2 linked regions of the Nothobranchius furzeri genome follow. The protein of the gene in region 2 binds, or shares a complex with, the protein of the main gene of each other region. Links are inferred from orthologs where the notes say so. Each region holds a gene or a part of one and is shown on either strand. Other genes may lie near its edges.

Evidence for each region. Proteins that work in one complex are often made in the same cells at the same time.
Region 1: strip2 (region 2) and programmed cell death protein 10-B share a complex: the UniProt entries of both Homo sapiens proteins name them as parts of the core of STRIPAK complex. The link is inferred for Nothobranchius furzeri from reciprocal best matches to the Homo sapiens genes STRIP2 and PDCD10.

The regions. Positions count from the first base shown.
Region 1 is NC_091758.1:24,841,394-24,846,581, forward strand, and holds the start of programmed cell death protein 10-B, read right to left. Parts: upstream 3,240-5,188; 5' UTR 2,802-3,239; intron 1,495-2,801; 5' UTR 1,358-1,494; coding exon 1,268-1,357; intron 1-1,267. UniProt on the Homo sapiens protein: Promotes cell proliferation. Modulates apoptotic pathways. Increases mitogen-activated protein kinase activity and STK26 activity. Important for cell migration, and for normal structure and assembly of the Golgi complex.
Region 2 is NC_091741.1:53,354,273-53,358,667, forward strand, and holds part of strip2 (striatin-interacting protein 1 homolog), read right to left. Parts: intron 1,175-4,395; coding exon 983-1,174; intron 1-982. UniProt on the Homo sapiens protein: Plays a role in the regulation of cell morphology and cytoskeletal organization. Required in the control of cell shape. Calmodulin-binding scaffolding protein which is the center of the striatin-interacting phosphatase and kinase (STRIPAK) complexes.

The sequences.
Region 1 (5,188 bases), on a different chromosome or scaffold from region 2:
AGTACTGACTAGGGATGAACGATTTAGGAAAATAATCTAATTGTGATTTTTTTTCTATATTGCAATAGCGATTTAATTCACAATTATTTTCTCAAGGGGCTTTTCTCATATTTTTCAACAGAAGCAAAAAAAACCCTATGTAACTTGCACTGAATATGAACAAGTTTATGTATCTACATATATATCTACATATCATATCAACAAGTTTATTTGTCTACATAAATACTAACAAGTAACAACAACATTTTGCATTTGAAGTTGCGATGCTTTGCAGCCAGGAGCACATCCCTTGTAGGAGCATAGGTATTAGCATCAACTGTGAAAATTGATTTGTAGGAAAGAAGTGTGTCCCATTTATTGGTCTTTTGTGTTTACAGTTTTTGACGTCTGGTCCATGCAGAGCTTCCATAGTTCAGCTACGTTCATAGCTGCTAGCCAAAACTCTGTGGAGTTTAAGTCTCTTACAGTTTTTTGAGCTTTACTAAAATATCTGTCTGTACTTATTTGATTAATGGCAGTTTTTACTTTTTTATTAGTGTCCAAATGTAAATATTTGGCACGTTCCTAAGCCATAATTTGTAAGAATGTAATCTGCAATATTAGCATTAGCATCCCTATGGGCTTTTCTATGTATATTAGCATTGCGCTAACCACTTGCTGCCAGTCAAATCGCAGCCTTTGCGATTAGAAAATCTCCTTTTGTCACATCGCAATTTAATTGCATATGCAATTAATTATTCAGCCGTAGTGCTGACACACGATTGGTCCGGCCTATTTTAGGCCGGAGGTCGGACGGTTTGAACTGGAACGGTACAAGATGGATTCTCCTGAGTTTGGAAAACTCCAAATCTCGCGAGGATTCATCTTGCAGTGCAAGGTTACATTTCAGTAGGAATTAGACGACGGGTACACTCATATTGACTTGATGTGATAAAGAACAAATGACATTTCCTGCCAAAAGTGGTGTAATATTTATGCAATATTCACATTTTTGGAGACATTGAAATATAGGTTTCTATTATCTGTATGAGACAATAATCAAAATTACAAGAACTATAGGCTTGAAATGGTTCATTTTATGTGAAATGACTATTTAGGTGCTTCGCTTTCTGAAATGAGTGACAAAATATATTACACTGCTTCATAATAATCTAATTGTTTCAGGTGTGCCCACATTGTTCTGATACATTAACCTTAAATTCTGTCACTCATCATATTCGTTTTTTTTTATTAAATAAAGCAACATATTTGACATTGGAAGGCTTACCTCCTTAAAAACGGGATACATCACAGCGTAAAGCGTCATGGATACCATGGAGTTTGTCTCCGCTTCATTCTTCATCTCCTCCATTGTCATCCTCCAGTGGAGGAGTAGCTCTTGTCAAAATGATGAAGAGGAAACTGCTCCTCAGCCACACTCACTCTCTCTCTCACACACACACACACACGCACACACACACACTCAGAAACCAAGCAAGTTCCAGAGATAAGAGCCTGAAAAATAAAATAGAAAAAGGACATTTTTGGGAAATGAATGAAGTTATATCTGCTCATATTTTCTTTTTACGTTGATGGAATGCAGAACATGCATCAGTTACAATGTGACTGAATTAAATCACAGTAGTTAATCTGTCACAGTTCGGTTTAAACATGGGTTTGGATGATCACACATCCCTGATAATTGTAGTTAGACGTTTAAATTTGAATAAGAACTGGATATGTCACATGATTTTGCAACAATCTTGAAAATCGACTGCCCTGACTATTTATCTTATTCAAACACAAAAATAAGCACTACTTCCTCACCCAGATAAATTTCATTATAATAGAACACAAAACATTTGCAAAAGAAGCTGCAGATAAACCAGGCTTTAAAAAAATACAATCTAAATATGCTCTTTCTAATGATGTGATTGTTCAATAACAAGATTATGAATGAAAATCAATAATAATCTTAAATCAATTATTTTTATGATTAGCAATCAACATGTACGATTAGAACATCCATAAAATTAAATCATGTCAGTTTATCACAAACATGTCATTACACACCCTCACATACATCTTTACACTCACCAGTACTGACCGCCTAATCTATCCTGTTCTGGTTAATAATGAGGAAGTGATCCTTTGTATTCTGGTTTAATCTGAAGGAGGGGAGTGGTACAATCATACGTTTTATGTATGGCAGCACGGATTAAATGTCTACACAACAACTTCACTCTGAACAACAGGGACTATTTGGACACACTATAGCATCGTAGGCAAATGAGTTAAAACTGACAAATACTTGACAGAATAGATTAGGAGAGCTGAATGTAAATCATACGAATTTGATGTATTTTCAGCATGTTGTGTATTTGTGATTGTCCAGGTTTGTTATGGAGAAAATGACACATATTATTTTTTTTAATGGAGTGTCTGAAGTGACTGCTGGTTTACTGGAAAGCTAAACAAATCAAATGATAGCCTAAGGTAATGCTACAAGCTAGTAGAAGTATGGAACGGAAAACTAAACGGTGTTGGGTAAAACAGAGTAACCCGATTTATTTGTGATATCGGGGTACTACAATCAATTAACAAGTGTCTGTGTAACATTACATACTTTACGCGGTTTTATAATATTCACTCGAGGCCTCTAGCCGACTAGATCGATGGTAGCAGTGAACAGCGTTAGCTTCCGTGCTAGCTCAAGTAATGTGTAGGGTTGTCTTTACAAACGCGCTAAAACACGTCAACAAACTGCTTCATGACGGATACGTGCATTTATGTGTGCGTCCTAAAGGCGTACTCGTATCTACCTTTGGGCTGACTTCTTAAATAAGATGATTTTCCCGTCGATTGGCTTTTAGCTGCTGTGTTTTCTTTACAACTTAAGGCGGAAGTTTTTTAGGACTGGCCCGAGCGACATCTTCCGGACCGTTGCTACGTAAACACACGTTGTCCAATCAGAGAGCGGGGAGGCTAAAGTAACCGTGACGTAAGCCGGTAGCCTATTTAAGTAAGTATGATGAAAACGTAGCTTTACGTAGGCACATTACAGTTGTTCTGTGTTTAATTAAGATTTGTTTATGAGAAAATAAAAGCTTTTAGTTGTATTAAGAAAAACATGGCTCTCCAATTTTCTACATAGCAGCAAATATAAAGGTCAAAAGAGACAACAGAGGTCACATATATACATGAAAATGTTTTTAATCAGTGTTTTTTCTTATTACAGTAACACATTCTAATGACAATACCTTTTAAAAGGACTGCCAGAAGAAATACAGTACTGATTAGATCATTTGAAGGAAGGGATAGCTACATTGCCCTTTGATGCATAATGGTCACTACAGTGGACAGGTACTCAAAATAGTTTTTTTTTTGCTTGTTTATTTATTTGTTTGTTTGTTTGTTTGTTTGTTTTTGCATTAAGCACAGCTGTTGAAGACTTTATTGTATTTGAGCCCCTCCATTTGGACTTCAGTAAGTCAAGCCAACATATTTCATGTTCAGAATGCACGCTGTCCACTGAGGTGGACGTGTAATAATCCATTTGTAAATTATTAAATGTTTCAAAAAATATTTGTTGAAATTTGTTTCATTCACACCTAAAGATGAATGAAATTCATGGAAAAAAATTCATGGTTGAAGATTGCATAATTCATGCATCAAAGGGTTAATAATATGAGATTTTGCTGAAATATTTGCAATATAGTAAAAGGCTGAATCCGCTGGATTACATTAATGTTAAAAAAAACATTAATTTTTGAGTTTTGTGCAAAAATGTAAATATCTCATCTCCTATGCATGTCATGATCCGCCCCGGCCTCCCTGACTGTGTCTCTCCTGCCTTGATTAACCTTATTGTTCTCACCTGTCCCTCATTACTCTGCCCATGTGTTCCTGATTTCCCTGTGTATTTATACCTCCCTCCTTGTTGCTGTCTTCATCGGATCATTGTTGTTTGTTCATGTTTGTTTTGTCCGTCTCTCCCATTCTACAATTAAACCATTTTTATTTCATCCGTGCCTGCTCTTCTGCCTCCTGGAACCCTCCACCACACTTGGTCCACCATCTCCACCCTCACATCATGACGATGCATTTATTTTCAAGAACGAATTTGTTTCTATTCTGAATGAAAAATAGCCAACTTTATGCATGCACCAATGACATTTTTTTAAAACCGAAACACCCAATGTTAAAGTTTCAATGAATGCAAATAATGCTTCTTCTGTTCAGTCTTGTTTGGTTTCAGTTATAGACTGAATGGAAGTTTAAAAAAATACATTAGCAAGATGCATATCAGTTTTTCATGTTTTGTTAAAAGCTGTTGTAAATTCCAGCAGGCCATTCCCATTATGTCACGTTTATCCCTAGCCTGGCCTGCCAGACTTGTTCACTGTGTAATTCTACACAGAGAACTATAAGGAAGCATAGGGAAGCGTGGGGCTGGCTGGCCAGGCCAATATCTTCTTATGTAATTTTGTGTTGGTTAAAAAAATATCTTGAATCTCTTACTTATCTTGTTTTAAAGGAATGTAAAAGGCTGTGGACAGTGACACACTGAAATGTGAGGTCAGGCTCCAGGTTTCTGAAGCCTGCAGGTACATATGACCTCAGAGCACATTTTTCTCTGGAGACAGAATACTTGTCTTTAATTCATTAGAAACAAAATGATGCTATCCTAACCAGCAGGATAGGCATCAATCTTCCTATGCTTGAAGTTTACATTAAATAAACACAAAAATTGTAAAAGTAAATTATTAATGTCCAATCCATAGACAGGGACATAAGGACGAAACTGAAGCCCAAATGCCCCCTCACTCTTTACAAACCTTTCTGCTGCATGCTTGTATGTTTATTTATTTATTTTTTCTTTAAACTTATTTTGCAAAATAGAAACGTCATGTTTTAAAAACACAATGATTGTGTATGGGCAGTTTTAGCCCCACATCCAACCTTGAAACAGGACCGTTTGACTCCACTTTATAGCAACAGATGAAAGTAGATGCCTTATTTATTTATGTCTGAGTAAAACCCCAGTAAGGTTTTATCTTGAGGGCGATATGATTGGCTGAACACAACACCCAGAAAGATGTAAAATGTAAAACGTCTTTAATGCTTGTCAGAAATAGGGGGGGGGGGGGGGACTCAGAACACAGTTTTACTAGAACACTCCTCTAAAGCATATAAACAAACATCGTAT
Region 2 (4,395 bases):
TTCACAAACAGCTGCAACATCTAATATGCCTAAATGTTATTGACCTTCTCTTAGTAACAAGAAATGTGGTTTTGATCAGCAGCGGTCACTCCTTTAGTGCAATAATCTCCTTCTTTGCATCACGCTGGTTATTAGCTGACTTCACGCTTTGCATCGTTAGATTTCTTCTCTTAGAAAAGCACTCAGCCCTGTTGGCTCAGATTTAAATAACACTGAAAACACGTTCATTTGCTATAAAACAAATATTTATTCTGATCTTGCAGAGGGTTTCTCTTACTGACAGATTTCCTTCTCTAACCCTAACCCTAGACTAAATGTTCACCTTCAAATTTCAATTTAAGTAGCTTTTATTATCAGCATCTGTGATCTGTGGACAATCTCTGGGATAAAGCTTTATGAGGACCTCAGGAGGACACAGCATCGTACAGCTTTGACCTACAAAGAGAACAATGCATGAAACTGTTTACCAGAGTGAAGACAACAAAGTCATTGATTTTTCATGACCTGTCACAGAAAAGCGAGTGTTACATATATTTTTTGTATTTTCTAGTCATTGTTAGAAATAATTAGAAATCCTCTGATGATTACTTGTCGAGATGTATAAGTTTGATTTTCAAACAATTCACATCGCTAATGAAGTGATTTTAGAAAGTTTTTTCATTTAGCCACAAATAAAAATGCGCTTACACCCAAATGTGGTCCTAACTGCTGGTCTGATTGGACTTTCAGTGTTTGGCTTTGTGTTCTTTTTGATCCGTCATCATCCTACTCGTGTTTTATTTGCATGATGAAACACAACAGTAAATCAACGTAGCACCAAGCTTCCCCGTCTGAACGGGCAAAGCTTTCATGTTTATCAGCGCGTCAACGGAAGATTCAGGAGAAAACTGCTCAGGCTCTCATACGTTGTTGTGTATGAGCGGAAATGTTCACAATCAAACCCAACATGTTCTAAATGTGTGTGTGTGTGTGTGTGTTGTACCCTGCGGCTGCGACGGCCTCTCTTCTGCTGCTGCTGCTGCTGCTCGATCAGCTCCATGGCTGAGGCGGGAGGCGAGGCTGCTCTCATGGCTCTGACCACCTTGATACTGTCCTCTGGGAGGGGGGTCAGGCAGAGACGCTCTCGGCCACGCACCTTCATCTCCTGCAGCTCCTCAAACCCCCCCAACGTAAACTAGAACACAAGCATGATCAGAGATTTGAGGAAGAAGAAGCAAGAAAAAGTATGTGAACCCTTTGGGATTAAATACATTTCTGCACAAACTGGTCATAAAATGTGACCTGATCTTCATTTAGGTCACAGCACTAGACAGTCACAGTCTGCTTAAACTAACGCACGAACAGTTATACGTTTCCATGTTTTTATGGAACACACCAAGTACACATTCACAGTGCATGTGGGAGAAGTATGACAACCCTAGACAAATGACATCTCCAAGAGCTAAGTGGTGTCAGGTGTCAGCCAACAGGAGTCCAATCAGTGTGATGAGATTAGAAGTCTTGATTAAAGCTGCCCTGACCAATAAAGAACACACACCTGCTTTTGTCCAGAAGCACTGCCTGATGCCACGCACAAAAGAAGCTCTCAAAAGACCAATGATTAAGAGTTGTTAACTTGCATAAAACTGGAAAGGGTTATAAATGTATCTCCAAAATGCCTTGATGTTCATCAGTCCACCGTAACAGAAATTGTTTATGAGTGGAGAAAGTTCAGCACTGTTGCTACTCTTCCCTGTAGAAGGGGCCGTCCTGACTGCAGAAGTGAGGTGAAGAGGAATCCTAGTGTCAGCTAAAGACTTAGAAAATATCTCTGGCATATGCGAACATCCCTGTTGGCGAATATACTGTAAGTGAGACTCTAAACAAGAACAGAGTTCATGGGAGGACACCACAGAGGAAGCCACTGCTGCACATTTAAAGTTTGCAAAAGAGCACCTGGATCTTCCACAGCAGTACTGGCAAAACATTTTGTGGACAGATGAAACCAAACTTGAGTTGTTTGGGGTGTGTGGAGAAAAAGAGGCACACCACACAAACACCAAAACATTATCACAACTGAAGTATGGTGGTGGGGGCATCATGGTTCGGGGTTGCTTTGCTGCACCAGGACATTTTGCAGGAGAACTTAAGGCTTTTTGTCCACCAGCTGAAGCTCAACAGAAGATGGGACGATGCAACAGGACAATGATCCAAAGACCTCAAGAAATCGATTCATACCAGACATCGCAAGAACTGAAGAAGAAGAAGAAGAAGAAGAAAATATCATTTCTATAGCGCCTCTCAAGATAAAAAATCACGAGGCACTTCACAAAAACAAAACAAAGAAAGTAAAAATATAAAAAAAGCATTTAGAAAATGTTTAAAAATATATTTAAAATGAGCAAAAATAGGCAATTCGTCGTCGTCGTCGTCGTCGTCTTCCTCCGCTTATCCGGGTCCGGGTCGCGGGGGCAGCATCCCAATTAGGGAGCTCCAGGCCGTCCTCTCCCCGGCCTTGTCCACCAGCTCCTCCGGCAGGACCCCAAGGCGTTCCCGGACCAGATTGGAGATGTAACCTCTCCAACGTGTCCTGGGTCGACCCGGGGGCCTTCTGCCGGCAGGACATGCCCGAAACACCTCCCCGGGGAGGCGTCCAGGAGGCATCCTGACCAGATGCCCAAACCACCTCAACTGGCTCCTTTCGATCCGGAGGAGCAGCGGTTCTACTCCGAGTCCCTCCCGAATGTCCGAGCTCCTCACCCTATCTCTAAGGCTGAGCCCGGCCACCCTACGGAGGAAACTCATTTCGGCCGCTTGTATCCGCGATCTCGTTCTTTCGGTCATTACCCAAAGCTCATGCCCATAGGTGAGGATTGGGACGTAGATCGACCGGTAAATCGAGAGCCTGGCTTTCTGGCTCAGCTCCCTCTTCCCCACGACAGATCGGCTCAGCGTCCGCATCACTGCAGACGCCGAACCAATCCACCTGTCGATCTCCCGATCCCTCCTACCCTCACTCGTGAACAAGACCCCGAGATACTTAAACTCCTCCACTTGAGGTAGGACCTCTCCCCCGACCCGGAGGTGGCAAGCCACCCTTTTCCGGTCGAGAACCATGGTCTCAGATTTGGAGGTGCTGATCCTCATCCCAGCCGCTTCACATTCGGCCGCGAACCTACCCAGCAAGAGCTGAAGGTCAGAGCTGGATGAAGCTAGGAGAACCACATCATCCGCAAAAAGCAGAGACGAGATTCTCCTGCCACCAAACTCGACACACTCCACACCACGGCTGCGTCTAGAAATTCTGTCCATAAAAGTGATGAACAGAACCGGTGACAAAGGGCAGCCCTGGCGGAGTCCAACCCTCACTGGGAACAGGTCCGACTTACTACCGGCTATGCGGACCAAACTCACGCTCCTCTGGTAAAGGGACTGAATGGCCCTTAACAGAAAGCCACCCACCCCATACTCCTGGAGCGTCCCCCACAGGGTGCCCCTGGGGACACGGTCATAAGCCTTCTCCAAATCCACAAAGCACATGTGGATTGGTTGGGCAAACTCCCATGCCCCCTCCATCACCCTTGCAAGGGTATAGAGCTGGTCCACAGTTCCACGGCCAGGACGAAAACCACATTGCTCCTCCTCTATCTGAGATTCAACTATCGATCGGACCCTCCTCTCCAGTACCTTGGAGTAGACCTTTCCAGGGAGGCTGAGGAGTGTGATCCCCCTATAGTTGGAACACACCCTCAGGTCACCCTTCTTAAAGATGGGGACCACCACCCCGGTCTGCCACTCCCTAGGAACTGCCCCCGATGACCACGCAATGTTGTAGAGACGTGTCAACCATGACAGCCCTACAACATCCATAGCCTTGAGATACCCAGGACGAACCTCATCCGCCCCCGGGGCTCCGCCGCTGTGTAGTTGTTTGACTACCTCAGCAACTTCTGCCCCCGAGATCGGACAGTCCATCCCCAGGCCTCCCAGCTCTGGTTCCTCCTCGGAATGCGCATTGGTGGGATTGAGGAGCTCCTCAAAGTATTCCTTCCACCGTCCGACTATAGCCTCAGTTGACGTCAGCAGCTCCCCATCCCCACTGTAAACAGTGTGAGCGAGTTGCTGCCTTCCTCTCCTGAGGCGCCGGACAGTTTGCCAGAACCTCTTTGGAGCCGATCGATAGTCTTTCTCCATGGCCTCACCAAACTCCTCCCACGCCCGAGATTTTGCCTCGGCAACTGCCACTGCTGCACCCCGCTTGGCTATCCGGTACCTGTCTGCTGCCTCCGGAGACCCACAGACCAGCCACGCCCTGTAGGCCTCCTTCTTCAGCCTGACGGCTCCCCGAACCTCTGGTGTCCACCAGCGGGTACGGGGGTTGCCACCACGACTGGCACCGGCCACCTTACGACCACA